2 linked regions of the Astyanax mexicanus genome follow. The protein of the gene in region 1 purifies or fractionates together with the protein of each later gene. This does not show direct contact. Links are inferred from orthologs where the notes say so. Each region holds a gene or a part of one and is shown in the gene's direction. Other genes may lie near its edges.

Region 1 (7,480 bases):
TGATATAAATAAACACTTAAAATTGATCATTCTGTGTGTAATACATCTATATAATATTTGACTTTCACATTTTAAACTGAAATACTGAAATAAAGTATTTTGTCAATGATATTCTCATTTTGTGAGATGCACTAGTATATATTTTCTTTAATTATTTTCATTTAATTCCTTTTTATTTTCTTACAGGAGGTTGGATATGCAGTACCATGGGCCTCAGATCTTACAGACTCTTCTTACAGAACTCAAACACAGAACCATCACACGCAGAGTCAGTGACCGAGCAGTTCTACGGACAGTTTCTACACATCTCCAGTTTTGTAGATGATTGTGTACAGTACATTCTAGCAGTTACCCTGCATCAGATATCATACCTCAGATGGAAATGTTTTATGATATTGAAATTACGTGGCTGAGTAGTCCCTCAGGGAATTTCTGTAAATGGTAACCTGTTGCATCTCCATCCTACACCTCCTGCATCTCATACAGCCTTCCAAATAAACAGGTGATAAAAATGACTCTTCCCTCCACACCCACTCAACTACAGCATGAACAGTACTGGAAGACTGCCGCATTAGTCTCTGGGTTTGTATAAATCAGACTCCTCTGCTAGCTATCCTGTAAATAGTGTTTATAGGTTGTTTTGTAGGTGAATATTTTAATAATAAAAAATATAAAACTTTTTTGGTGTCTTTTTATTTTATTTCCTCTTGAAAAGCAATTTCCAAAAATAGAAAATTGTTCCACAAACAGTAATTGTGTACTACTAATCTTAACAGTGTGGGCTTTATATTAAAGGGGGCATATTATACCTCATTTTTGAGGTTAGAATAGGTGTATAAGATATACAAAATATGTTCATGAAGTTCTTCACAGTTTCAGTCTCTTCCAGAATGAGTTTAAGGGCTCTGTCACTTTTACACAGCCAGTTGTTGCTGGCCACATGCCATTTTTACACTTAGCATTTACCCTGCATTAGTCTTAGCTTGTGCTAAATGGCAAGATACAAACAAGCTAACTGTGATAGAAGCACAAACCTAATTATTTAAAAGAACTTACATCTCCCTCATCTACTGACTTGCCACGGACAGTAAGTACAGATCCCTCCTTCAGACAAAGTCTGCTGGCTAATCCCGCTGTGTACTCTCTGAGGTTCTCAACCTAAAGGGAATTGGCAAAATGTGTTCATAGGGACAGGCGACACCCAAGTGGAAATACAAAAGCATGCAAAAAGTAAGTTTTGCACAATGTCCCCTTTAATGTATTAACGTGTTTCATACTAAAAGAAAGTGATGATCAGTTCTGAGTATGTAAAGTGGATATTTGTGTACTCAACTTTCACAATTGTATCTATACTACATACTCAAACACTAGTTTATGTTTATATGGAGAACATATTTTGGTTGGATTCTCAAAACCTCAGTAAAAGACTGTCAAACCAGTTGTGGTAATCTTGTGTTAAAGTCTTAAGCTAACTGTTTTTTTTAATCTACTGAAATAGTGTAGAATTATCTAAATGTGTGACCAGAGCATATCAACTCATGAGTGACATCATTCCCAACTGCATGTAGTACAGATAATGCAAGATGTCTTAGTAAAGAAGAGTTGCTGTCAAGTAATTTAAACATGACATCAGATTACTAAATTCCATATAGAAAACAATTAATCCATCATTTTAATAAAAATAACAAAAAATTTCTCGTAAGCTAAACGTTTTTGTTTTTGTGCAATGATTCAAACACACAGGATTGTGCATTATTGCTTCTTGGCTGGTGAAGAATCCACCTATAGTGGTGAAAATAATATTTCGATCATCTGCTCATTTTGCAAGTTTATGGATTTTATCATAGGTTTATTTTAACAAAATGAGACAGAATATCATTTCAAATCCAGAACAAATATATTAAACAAATTTTAGAAATTCATTTTATTTGATTAGGTGAAAAAAGTATTTGATCCCCAAGCAAAACAAGACTTAGTACTTGGCTGAGAATGCAGAGAGATCTAAACTTTTTTTGTAATTGATCACCAGGGGTTTTAGAATATAATATTATTTCAGCTACTGTCTGTATTATTTAAAGTGGGGTCCCTATTAATGCTGTTTTTCCCAATATGACAGGGTGAAAATATTAAATTATGTTATTAGTGTTTCAGGGGCTTAAACTTTTTTTGATCTTGTTTTTTTATTATTTCACCTGGATGTTTTTTTGTATTACAACACCATAGCAACCCCTTAGTAACCACCTTGCAATATCTACAAAGCAACACATTAGCAAACAAAACCTATATCACAGCACACTGCTGAATGTCAGTCACACTGGCAGTTTATTCAGGAACTGCACTGATGCTCTGATGCTCCTGAGACTGTGTGATGTTCTTTCACTGAGGTATATAACAGGAAATATGTGTCCCTACAAACCAGGTATTTGACTTATGTCCCCAGATCGTAATTAATTAAAAACTGTGTGTACACTATATGTTCAAATGTTTGTTGGCAACCCATTTCAATAAAGACATTCTGCTCTTTGCTGACACAGATGTCCAAAAGCACACACACAGCTTGTCTAGACCTCATAGAGAAGTACTGCTAATAGAATAGGGACTCTGGAATAGATAAACAAAGATGAACCTGTTGGAACTATGCCTTATGCCAGGTTTTTCCTTGACAGTAGAGACAGTTACTCCAACAAACGTAGAAGAAACATTGAATGAGCATGTGTCCCAATACTTTTGTCCATATAGTGAATTAGGGTATAGGGTATAACTCCTTTTTTTACCATCTATAGACACTATGATATATACACTAGATGTCCAAATATGTTCGGGCATGAAGCATTATGCATGCAGTATTAGCAGCAATCAGCTGCAGTACCACCTTTTCTCATTCAATGTGTTTTCTTTTTTTTATTATTTTTTTTACATTGTACATTTAATATATATATATATATATATATATATATATATATATATATATATATATATATATATATATATATATATATATATATATATATATGACTATATTAAAGCTATACAGGAACACATGCAGAATTAACTAGTAAACAAAAAGTGTTAGACAAACCAGAATATGTTTTATACTTTAGATTGTCCTAAGTAGCACATTTATCTTTGAAGAAAGATCTGCACACTCTTGGTACTTTAATCTCAGTGTCTTCATCAGGGAGAATCATCTCAGAGTCTTGAAGGAAGGAGTTTCTGGAGGTGCTGAACAATAGTTGCTGCTTTTCCTTCAGGCTGCTGTGAAGCTCCAGCTCATCCTAAATCACCTCCACTCACCATCTCAGTTCATCAGGTTTAATACAAACTGTTTTTTGTTTACTACTTAATTCTATATGTGTCTCTTAATTGTTTTTAAAACATTGTGTCTTTAATATTAATCTACAATCTTGACAATAAATTAAATGAAAAATATAGAAAAACATTGAATGAAAAGGTGTGTCCAAACTTTAACTGGTATTTAAACTGTATTTTAAGTTACACCTTGTCTAGTGCCTGTAGATGCTGTAAATGCTGCCAATAGAATAGGACCCTTTGGAGCGGGCTTCCGTCCAATACTGTTGAAAGGAGTTGCTGAGGATAAGAATGCAATCAAATCCTCACAGCAATGTCTATTGTACTAAATCATCTTGTAGAAATCCTTCTTCACTGGGCAGTAGACACTCCAACAACAAAACATAAAGCTCTGGAAAAAAATAAGAGACTACTTAAAAGTGATTTTTCTTTGATTTTACCAAATTGAAAACCTCTGGAATAGAATCAAGAGGAAGATGGATGATCACAAGCCATCAAACCAAGCTGAACTGAATTTTTGCACCAGGCGTGGCTTAAAGTTATCCAAATGCAGTGTGTAAGACTGGTGGAGAAGAAAGGCTAAGATGAATAAAAACTGTGATTAAAAACCAGGGTTCTTTCACCAAATATTGATTTCTGAACTTTTTAAAACTTTATGAATATGAACTTGTTTTCTTTGCATTATTTAAGGTTTGAAAGCTCTGCATTCTTTTGTTATTTTAGCCATTTCTCATTTTCTGCAAATAAATGCTCTAAATTACAATATATTTATTTGTAATTTGGGATAAATGTTGTCTGTAGTTTATAGAACACAACAACAATTCTTATTTTACTCAAACATATACCTATAAATAGCACAATCAGAGAAACTGATTCAGAAACTGAAGTGGTCTCTAAATTTTTCCATAGCTGTATATGAATAAGCAGGTGTCCCAACACTTTTGTCCATATAGTGTAATATGTGCGTGAGCATGCGCAGTGGCGTTGTTGGGTGGCCCCGCCCCCTTTCTTCAGTGAAAGCCGAGATTGTAGCGGAGGGGGAGGAAACACTATGAAAGGAGAGCGCTGGACTCGGAGACTTTTTGGCGCTGGAGTTTACACTAAATTGCGGAGTTTTGCATTTTAATTTTACTTTTTATAGCAGGAGAAGAGAAGTAAGAGTTTTAACTGAGTTTTCTTACAGGGAAACTCTGCGCTGCTGCTCCGTACACAAGCGAGACGCCCGCGAGACGCCTAAACAAAGTTAGCCGAGGAGCTAGCCTCTTAGCTCGGACAGCAGGAGCGGCCGGGAGTCGCGGGGTGGTGAAGGTGGAGGAGGTGGAGGAGGTGGAGGGCAGCTGGGCAGCCGGGCAGCCGGAGAGTGCCGAGGCTTCCTTCACCCTCCTCCCGCGGGAGAGTTAAGTTAACTAACTGCTAGCTAACCTAGCGAGTATGTTGCCCTCAGCAGGCAGCTCAAGCTTCGGATGAGGTTGGGACTGAGCTGCGAGGCTGAAGCGGAGACCTACAGAGCGGAGAGTGAGCCGCCATGCCGCCGAATCGCCCGGGTCTGTCCCCCGCCTTGCCGGGGAAGGCGCTCCGGAGCCCCGCGGGCTGCCCGCTCCTCCTGCTTCTGCTGCTGATGGTGGAAGGGGCCCTGTGCCTCGCCAAGCCCGGCGGAGCGCCGCCGCTGAACGGGAATGGCCGTCCGAGTGTGAACGTGTTCATGAGCGAAGAGGAGGTGAAGAAGCTGCTGGGTAAGTGTCCCAGAGTGTCCGAAAACTTTCGGTCAGTTTACCCCGCTGTGTCCTACTAAACACTGGAGAAATAAAGTTGGTAACTCAGCAGGTAAACCAGCTTCAGCTCCAGCGGAGTGAAGCCCAGGCTGTGTTATAAAGTGTGAAATTATGTGTTTTATGGTTTAAAAGTGTTGGTTTAGCGTTACATAACTTTATTAATAAATAAAGTTCAGTTTCTCTTGGAGTCCAGCAGCTGTTAGCTACACTAGAGCTAACAGCTAACACTGTTTATCAGTCCTGAGTCCTGTGGAGGAGGATAAGTTATTACTATAGAAATACAGTTCTTTTATATATTATCTCAAATAAAGGTCTCAATTCCCTTAAATTGAGAGTCTCAAAATACAGTATAATGAACATGTCTAAATGTTTTAGGTATCTCAAAAATAATGAGTATTGAATAATTAAGTATCTCAAAATATCAGTTAGCTTCTTAAAATGAAGAGAAACCATTTAAACTACCCAAAAAATTATCTGAAAAGAATGGATTAAATTTTCAAAATGAGAATATTTGAAAATAACGAGAAGTCACTAAAAATCTAATGATAAACCATCTCAAAATACCGGACAATAATCTCAAAATAACAAGAAATTAGCTCATATTAACGAGAAATCATTCCAAGACAATGAGAAATCAAATTGAGATTTTGAAAAAAAAAACGACTCAAATGAGTGTCCCAAAACAAGGACCATGTATTTTAAAATAAAGAAAAATAATATATTTAAAAAAAGAGTTTTAAAATAATGAGAATATTCATAGTCATCTAACTATGAAGAAAAACACACAAAAAAATGGTAAACAACAAAGAGTATGTTTTATATTTTAGAAGTAGCACCTTTTGTTTAGATGATAGCTTTACCCATCTTGGCTGCATTTTCTCAGTCAGCTATATGAGGTAGAGACACCTGGAATGGCTTTCAGTTAACAGCTGTGCTGAACTTATCAAGAATTAATAACTTGAATTTCTTGCCTCTCTATGTGTTTGAGAGCATCAGTTGTAAAGTTGTGAAGAGGTACAGTTGGTATACAGTGAACAGCCCTATTTGAGTAATGTTCTAATCCATATTGTGGCAGTAACTACTCAATTATGCACAGAAAAAATACTTGAAATGAAGGTCAGTCAATCTAAAATATCAAAAACTTTGAAAGTTTCCTCAAGTGCAGTTGCAATGATCATTAAAACGTTGATGATGAAAGTGGCACTCATCAGGACCACCCCAGGAAAGGAAGAACAAGAGTTACCTCTGTAGCACAGGATAAGTTCATCAAAGTTGCCAGCATCATAAACCTCAAGTTAACAGCTCCTCAGATAAGAGCACCTAAATGCTTCTTCACAGAGTATTTTGGTTTCTTTAACACGTTTAAGTTACTACATGATTCCTTATGTGTTCCTTCATAATCTGGATGAAGTCTATATTCATTTATAATGTAGTAAATTAAATGGTGTGCCAAAACTTTTGACTAGTATTAGTTAGTAAGCTGGAAAGGCAAGCAGTAGATACAGCTCCAGTGGAGTGTCTTTTTCCAATTTGTGTGTTAAGTGTAAATGTTCCTTTAGGACTTAAAATGTTTTTTTTTTTGAGTAGAATAAACTAACTTTTAACTAAAGTCCAGCAGCTGTTGGCTAACCTATCTCCATGCAGGGCAGCTAATGGCTAACAGTGTTTATCAGTCCTGTAGAAGTCATTTAGAGAGAGGAGGATGTTCGTATGGGAGCTCAGACCAAGCAAAGCTATGCTGTTTAATCGAAAAGCATTAAGCATTTAATAATCATACCAAAAATATCACAAAATGAGATTATATCTCAATTTAACAATTTAGTATCTCAAAATAATCAAACCTTAATATTGACAAAATTTAATTATATAACATCACAAAATTAGCATTTCAAACTAGAGTGTTTCTTAGAATTTTAACTTAGTATCTCAGAATAATCAAGTAGCATCTTTGGAAAATGACTGCTTCAAAATAATAAGGCAGTAACTCAAAGTAATAAAAGAGTTCCTCAAAATATAAAGACTATTTTAAAACCCTGAGAACGTGTCTGATAATTAAACTTAATATTTCTGTATTGTGAGTAAAGGTGGTCAAACTATCAAGATCTCAAAATAATAATTTAATTTATCAAAATAATGAATATCTCAAAATTATTATAATAATGACTTTGTATCTAAAAGAGTCTTTTTTGTTAAATACATTTTTTAAGTATTAGCAAATGTACCTTCAAATAATACGTCAGTACCTTGAACATAATGAGACAATCTCAAAATGTTAAAGTATCTTAAAATAGTGACTTAGTATCTTAAAAACATTGATTCATAATGAAAATATGTAGAAACGATCTCAAAGTTCTGGCTTTTGCCTGTGCAGGATAATGTGACACCCTGCCCTTCATCAC
Region 2 (7,884 bases), on another chromosome or scaffold:
CCCCCTGTCCAGTCTCAGCCCCGTGTCCAGCCTCCTGTCCAGCCCTGTGTCCTGTCCCCTGTCCAGTCTCAGTCTCCGTTCCCTGTCCAGTCTCCGTCTCCTGTTCGGTCCCCTGTCCAGTCTCTGTTTCCGTCCACAGTCCAGTCCCTGTTCCCTCTCTCTCGGCGCCTCTGGTAGTGGCGCCGTTGAGGGGGGGTAATGTTACAGTTTAGCCCATGTCTGTCTTCTGTTTCTCCCTTATTTTGTCTCTTGTGCTCCTGCCCCTCTGTTTTCCTGTCAGTGTTCACAGCCATGTGCTATTGTTGTTGTTAGTATTTGTCTCCACCCTAGCTCCGCCCCAGCCCTGCCCTGTAGCATCAGTGTTCTCACCTGTGTCCTGTTTGTAACCCCGCCCCCTCGTCTTCCTAGCCCAGGTGTTTCTCACTCTCCTCTTGTATTTAAGCCCCTCTGTTAGAATGTTCAGTGTCGAGTCTTTTGTATTTTGTATTTTGTATGCTGTATCTTTGTATCCCTGCAGTCCGATTGTAGCCTAGTCTTAGTTTCTTAGTCTGTGTTTCTTGTATCCTCGTCTTAGTTTCTTAGTCAGTGTTTCTCAGTTTATATTATCCAAGCCTTGTTGTTTTGCGTTACCCGTGTTTTGTTTGTTTTGATTTGATTTATCTTGTTTGTTTAAAATAAATATTATCTTTGCACTTACGTCCTCCTCCTTCACACCCCTCCGACGTCTCCCGTAACAGAGAGAGAGAGAGAGGTCTATGTGTGAAGGTTTAATCGTTTATAGATGCTCAATCAGTTATAATAGATACAGATCAATTTATAGCAGTTACTGATACAGGTAGATAGTCTTCTTCTTTACAATCTTCTTTACTACAATGTAAACCCAGAAGTTGTTTAAACTCCAAAAAGTCTGTTTTACATAAATTATACGATATTATATATATATATATATATATATATATATATATTATATGATATTTCTAAACATTTCTTAACTCTTTTGAGTTAGTTGACCATTTGTGGGCACATATATACATTCAAACAGAGATCTTTGAGTTGAACCAGATTATAATAATTGAGTTTAATAACTGTTGTCATTGGCAGCTTCTTTTCCATTGGCTTCTTTCACAATCTATTTGCATACTGGGTGTGTCCAACAGTTTCTGACACTTACCATCAGTGTTTAGTGATACCCCTTGGGCTACCTTAGAAGTAAATCAAGTTCCCTTTTAGTTGTAATAACTTGATGTTTTAATTTATGCCAACTCAAGTTTTCATTCCCCATTACTTGAAACATTTGAGCAAACCGGCTGCCTTAAGAAAGTTAAGGAAACTCAACTTATCCAGTCTTACAATATAACAAAAATAGAAAAGTTAAATCAACTTTTCCTTTAGTTGTAAAAACTTAAGTTTTCATTCCCCATTATTTAACTTTTTTAAGGCAACCGGTTTCCTCACATTTTTAAAGTAAGTTTAACTTATCTGGGCTTACAGTGTAGTTACTGAAAAATGAGTCTTAGATTTAGGTTAAGCTTTAAAGATTAAAGTTTAATGTTCATTTGATTAGTTTAATTGTTCTTTTGCTGCTTGTTCATTGCAGATCTAGACCACCAGGACAGTTATCCGGATGCTTTTGTGTCTGGAATGTCTGCACAGCCCCATGCAAACAGTATGACACTTAATTGGATTAAATACCATGAGTGTTTAATTAACTGACCAGCAGAGAGTGGTCTTGACTCCTTGCTAATCCGGTGCTGCTCGTTCCCCTATGCCGTGTGCTATATAGAGCACAAGTTAATGGCTTTTGCCCTCTATGTAGTGCACTGGAGTTTAAGTAGGGTCCTGCTTGGACACGGCGTGTGTGAGTCAGGTGCTCACACCAGAGAGATCTAAAAATAAATGCCACTATATTAAAAAGTTGACCCCCTCACTTTTGCTGTCCGTGTTAGAAAGGGTGACCCCCTTTAGCGGGTTTCGAGAGCACTCATTACAAATGTCATTAAAGGCCTAATTAGTGCTGCACCTGATTTTTTTTCTTTCTTTCAGCAGGGAATCTGAATTAAACTGATCCCTGACATGTGGCACGAGCTAAAAAAGTAGAAAGATCTGCAGGTCAGAGCTGACTTAGGATCAAATACTGACTTTTAATGCACTAAGAAGACAAAGGGAGCAAAGAACATGTGTGATACAGTGTGTGAGTCTGCGTATGAGGCCTTATAACGTGTAATAGGTAATAGAGGGATTTTGAATGAAAGAGGACGACAGAGGGCGCTGTGTAGCGGCGATTGGAGTGCAGAGAGCTGATGCTGCAGCAGCAGGAGAAGCGCATTGACTGACCAGAGTGGGAAAAAGCAAAAAGCAAGGGAAACACTCTCAGTCTGCACACACACACACACACATACACAAGGGCGCGCGCGTTCAGAGCCCCACTCAGACCAATATTGCTCATATTTAGGGGGTTATCAGTGCAAATAAGCGCGCGTACACACTGTTCCCCTCCCAGATCTGAGTAATTAGCAGTAATTACTCGCATCAGCTGCATGCAGCCTGTTTAATGGAAGGGACCTCATAAAGGGCTGCAGTTTCACATTATTGTAAACGCATCCCGAACAGAGAGCGCGTGATCAGCACTGACAGCCCACCGTCTACACCACAGACCCCCCCAAACACACACACACCCCACTCTCAGTCCCAACAGCTCACACGCGCTGGAGCACACACACACACACAGTCCGGGCTGTTAGACTTCAGATCACGGACTGAGCAGAGAGAAGAGGGACACACACACGCAAACACATACACAGCCTCTCTCTCTCTTTCACTTCATCCCTCCATCCGTCCTCTGAGTTTTGATATCTGCCTCTCCTTCAATTATTGCTCTCCATCCATACCCACACCTTCTCTCTTTATCTCCTTTTCTTCATTCACCCCCTTTTCTTTCCATCCATCCTCTTCCTCTCTCTCCATCACTCTATGCCAGTCTTACTCTCCATCGTTCCTCTTCTCCCACCCTGTCACCTTCTATGTACCTCTCTTTTCCTTCCCCTCTCACTACATCCCGCCATTCTCATCCTTTTCCCTTTTTCTTCATCCATTCTCTTTCTGTAGCAGTATTCCTTTTTCTATCGTTCCATTCATCCTCTCTCTATAACAGTCTTGCTCGTGTTCCTCCCTTCACCGTTCATCTCACTCTCTGTCCGTCTTTTTCTTTCTCTCTTTTCTCCGTCCATCTATTCTCTCTCCATCCTTCTCCCCCCTCTCTCTCTTTCTCCCTGACTGACTTTCAGTTTCAGTCCACGTCCATCCCTACGCTCTCTCTCTCTCTTTTCTTTCTCTCTGTTTCACAACCCATACACTGTCAGTCTCTTCTTTTTCTCTCCCTCTCTCTCCATCCTTGTTTCCTCGCCCTCTGTCTCTCTGTTCCCTTTCTCCGTTCCTCTCTTTCTCTTCCGTCATTCCCCACACTCTTTTTTCATTCTCATTCTCTCCATACAACCTCTTTCTCGACTGCTTTCTCTCTCTCCCTCTCCCTTCCTCCAGTACTTTAAACTTTCTCTTTCCCCAATTATTTTTCTATTCCTCTCTTTAGCTTTATTCATTCCTCCATTCTTATACTCTCTCGTTCTGTGGTTCTGTGTCTATCCTTTATCTTCTTCTAATCTCTCTCTCTCTCTCTCTCTCTCTCTCTCTCTCTCTCTCTCTCTCTCTCCCATTCTCTCCCAGTCGCTGTCCGTGGTGCCCGTGTTCGTGTTTGCTTGGTGTATAACTGTGAATATGAACGAAGTACTGTAACACACACACGCGCGCGCACACACACACACACACACTGTACTGGAACTCCTGGTCGATCCCGCGCGCGTCTGTCTGATAATGATCTAATGACCATGTCGCGCGCGGACTCTGAAACAGTATGAAAAAAAAAAACACATGCGCGCGTAAAAGTTGACCCACAGAACGCAACGCCCCGCGCGCGCCTACAGTAGCCGCCGCGTCAGCGCGCTTACGAGGCGCGGGAGCGCGCTCTGCGCTGTCTGTGCTGAGTCGGTGAGTTGGTGGCTCTGCGGCTCTGCAGCGGAGCCCCGGAGAGCGCGGGGAACCGAACTGAGTTCTGGCACGGTGCCATCTTGCACCTCTTCCTTCTCTTTTGCGCGCTCCCTCACGACCGCTTGGTGTAGTCTAGCCTAATCACGCGGCATTTAGATTAGATCATCTCTGTCCTCGCGCTTCTGATCGGATTGCCTGAAACCAACCAACCAACAAACAAACAGAATAAAAAATAAATAAATAAATAAAAAAAAAAAAAAACTCAGTTCAGCGAGTTGAGGATTTGGGGTGCGCGCACGCGGGCGGTCGCGCGCGCAAAGGGGAGAGAGAGAAAGCGAGAGAGATAGAGAGAGAGAAAGAAAAGGGTCTGCAACATCATTTGCGAATCGCTTGTGGAGTGTCACAAACGCGCGCGCGCTCTGTGCTGGGTGCTGTGCTGCGGGTGCAGAGCGGGGTACAACACGCCGCGGCGGTGCGCAGGACACGATACACGCACGAGACAAGCAGGACAGTGGGGAGGAGGGAGGGACGGTGACTTATTGGCTCCTCGTGCTCCTCGTTCTCTTTTTTCTTCTTCTTTCTTCGTGCAATAATTACGTATTTGTCTTTACGCTTTTTTACTATTCAGCATTATCACACACGTTCATTCCATGCAAGTGGGGGAACTCTAAACCGGCGTGCTTGTGTGAATGTGTGTATGCTTGTGTGAGTGAGGGAGCAAGTGTGTGTGTAAGCGAGAGAGAGAGAGAGAGAGAGAGAGAGAGAGAGAAAGAGAGAGAGAGAGCGTGCGCGCGCTCGTGCTTGCTTGCGTTGCGTGCTTGCTTGCTTGCTGGCGTGTGCGTGCGTGCGTGCGTGCGCGTGTGTATGTGTGTATGAGAGGGAGTGTGTGAGAGGGAGTGAGGGAGCGAGAGAGAGAGAGAGAGAGAGGCAGAGGCAGGGAGTGCGCGCGCGTGTTGTCGTCGTCGGTGGCGGGCGGCTGCAGAAATCTCGGCGGAGGGGCGGCAGGACAGTTCAGTGCGCCGCTGCTGCCGTTTCTGCTGTTTCTGCTTCTTCTGCGCGAGGAGAAGTTGTGCGAATCCCACCGAGAGAGAGAAGGGGAATAAATGAGAGAGAAAACATGCAGGAGGCGCGCGCGAGGACTGGATTTTAACAGCATTTTCATTCACACCCAAACGGACTGAGATCATTTTCTTTTTTTCTTCTTTTTTTCATTTCTTTCTTACTGATTTTTTTTTCATTTGTTATTTTTCTTTTTTGCTGTTCTAAACGAAAAAAAAGAAGGAAGGAGAAAAAGCCTAAATAAATTAACTCGAAAACTGCAGCGTTTGCTTCAGCTTTGCCATGTGCTGAACGAATTGCATCACATCGCAGCGCTGGAAAAGAGAGACTCTTGCTGTGCGGACTCGCTCGGACTCGAACTTGTGCTTGTGTTTGACTTGGACGCTTAATTAAATACGGGGGGCAGGAGACGTTCATGGTAAGGAAGAAAAGGAAAAAGGACTGAGGTGTAAAGGAAAAGCATAAGAAGGGGAAGAGGACAGAGAAGGTGGGAATATATGCAAGAAAGAAAAAGCAGCAAGAATCAGCACAAAAATTTGATCAGCTCAGATTCATTCGTTTGATTTTTTTTTATTGCTTATATTTTTGCCTTTTATTTTTTTGGAGTGAAAAATCATCCCGGAGCGATGAGGACTTCTACCGCAGTGGACTGTATATGCTACTGCTGGCTCCTGCTGCAGCTGCTGAGTCAGCCCGCGGTGGCAAAGCAGGTGCTGCGCTACCGCCTGGCCGAGGAGGGTCCCGCGGACGTACGCGTGGGGAATGTAGCCGCCGACCTGGGCATCGTAGCCGGGTCCGGCGAGGTGACGTTTACGCTCGAGTCCGGCTCCGACTACTTCAAGATTGACAACATCACCGGGGACCTGAGCACCAACGAGCGACGGATCGACCGCGAGAAGCTGCAGCAGTGTCAGATGATTTTCGACGAGAACGAGTGTTTTATTGACTTCGAGGTGTCCGTGATCGGCCCCGCGCAAAGCTGGGTGGACTTGTTTGAAGGAAAAGTCATCATCCTGGACATCAACGATAACACGCCGTCCTTTCCCTCTCCCGTGCTCACCCTCTCCGTGGAGGAGAACCGGCCCATCGGCACGCTGTACCTGCTCCCCACCGCCACGGACAGGGACTTCGGGCGCAACGGGATCGAGAGGTACGAGCTGATCCAAGACGGCGCGGAGAGCTCCGTGAGGCGCCTGGGCTCGGCAAGCACCGACGCGCACTCGGGCAAGAGGAGGTTCGACGACGCGCAGAGTCGGAGCAGCGTGTTCGAGCTGCAAGTGGCCGACACCACGGACGGAGAGAAGCAACCGCAGCTAATTATCAAAGGCGCGCTGGACCGCGAGCAGCGCGACTCCTACGAGCTGACCCTGCGCGTGCGGGACGGGGGCGACCCCGCGCGCTCCTCCCAGGCCATCCTGCGCGTGATGATAACGGACGTGAATGACAACAGCCCGCGCTTCGAGAAGAGCGTGTACGAGGCGGACCTGCCCGAGAACAGCTCTCCCGGTGCCCCCATCCTCCAGCTCAAAGCGATGGACGCCGATGTGGGGGTCAATGGGCAGATAGAGTATGTGTTTGGGGCAGCCACTGAATCTGTGCGGCGCCTCCTGCGGTTAGACGAGAGCACAGGTTGGCTGAGCGTGCTGCACAGGATTGACCGGGAAGAAGTAAGTCAGCTGAGGTTTACAGTCATGGCAAGGGACCGTGGTCAGCCCCCTAAGACTGATAAAGCAACTATGATCATTAACATCAAGGATGAAAATGACAATGTTCCAAATATCGACATAAGAAAAATTGGGCGCATCTACCTGAGGGACGGTGTGGCAAATGTGGCAGAGGATGTGGTAGTGGACACACCCATTGCACTTGTCCAAGTGTCAGATCGTGACAAGGGACCAAACGGTGTGGTGACATGCACAGTGGTTGGTGATGTCCCCTTTCAGCTGAAGCCAGCAAGTGAGATAGAAGGTGACATGAACAAGAAGAAATATTTCCTGCATACGTCAGCACCGCTCGACTACGAGGCCGTACAGGAGTACAATGTTGTCATCGTGGCCGTGGATTCAGGCAGCCCCAGCCTGTCCAGCAACAACTCACTCATTGTAAAAGTTGGAGACATAAATGACAACCCGCCAATCTTTACCAAAAGTACAGTGGAGGTCTCATTTCCAGAAAACAACGCCCCAGGTGAGCGTGTGGCGACTGTGGTGGCTTTGGATGCAGACAGTGGCAAAAATGCAGAAATTTTCTACTCGTTGGACTCCTCAGTGAACGGAATATTTTCCATTGATGCAGACAGTGGTGACATTCGTGTTAACACCATACTTGACCGAGAACAAACTGAGCGCTATGAGTTCAAGGTTATTGCCAAAGACAAAGGAGTGCCTGTCATGCAGGGCTCAGCCACAGTCGTGGTGCTTGTGGCAGACAAGAATGACAATGAGCCAAAGTTCATGCAGGACGTATTCACTTTCTATGTGAAGGAAAACTTGCAGCCCAACAGCCCTGTAGGCATGGTCACAGTGATGGACTCAGATAAGGGGCAGAATGCTGAGATGAGCCTGTACATTGAGGAAGAGGAGGAAATATTCTCTATTGAAAACAACACAGGAACCATCTTCTCCACAGTGGCGTTCGACCGTGAGCAGAAGACCACCTATTCTTTCAGAGTCAAAGCTGTAGATGGTGGAGACCCGCCACGATCTGCCACAGCGACTGTATCTCTTTTTGTGATGGATGAAAATGATAATCCACCATCAGTCACTTTCCCAATCAACAGCTCCT

The links. The genes of interacting proteins can lie anywhere in the genome.
Region 2: the proteins of ryk (region 1) and pcdh7b purify together in Homo sapiens (affinity purification with mass spectrometry; 3 studies listed by BioGRID and IntAct, with this or other methods). This does not show direct contact. The link is inferred for Astyanax mexicanus from reciprocal best matches to the Homo sapiens genes RYK and PCDH7.

What each region holds. Positions count from the first base shown.
Region 1 is NC_064412.1:48,568,235-48,575,714, reverse strand, and holds the start of ryk (tyrosine-protein kinase RYK), read left to right. Parts: upstream 1-4,320; 5' UTR 4,321-4,834; coding exon 4,835-5,042; intron 5,043-7,480. UniProt on the Homo sapiens protein: May be a coreceptor along with FZD8 of Wnt proteins, such as WNT1, WNT3, WNT3A and WNT5A. Involved in neuron differentiation, axon guidance, corpus callosum establishment and neurite outgrowth.
Region 2 is NC_064415.1:22,293,721-22,301,604, reverse strand, and holds the start of pcdh7b (protocadherin-7b), read left to right. Parts: upstream 1-4,462; 5' UTR 4,463-5,726; coding exon 5,727-7,884.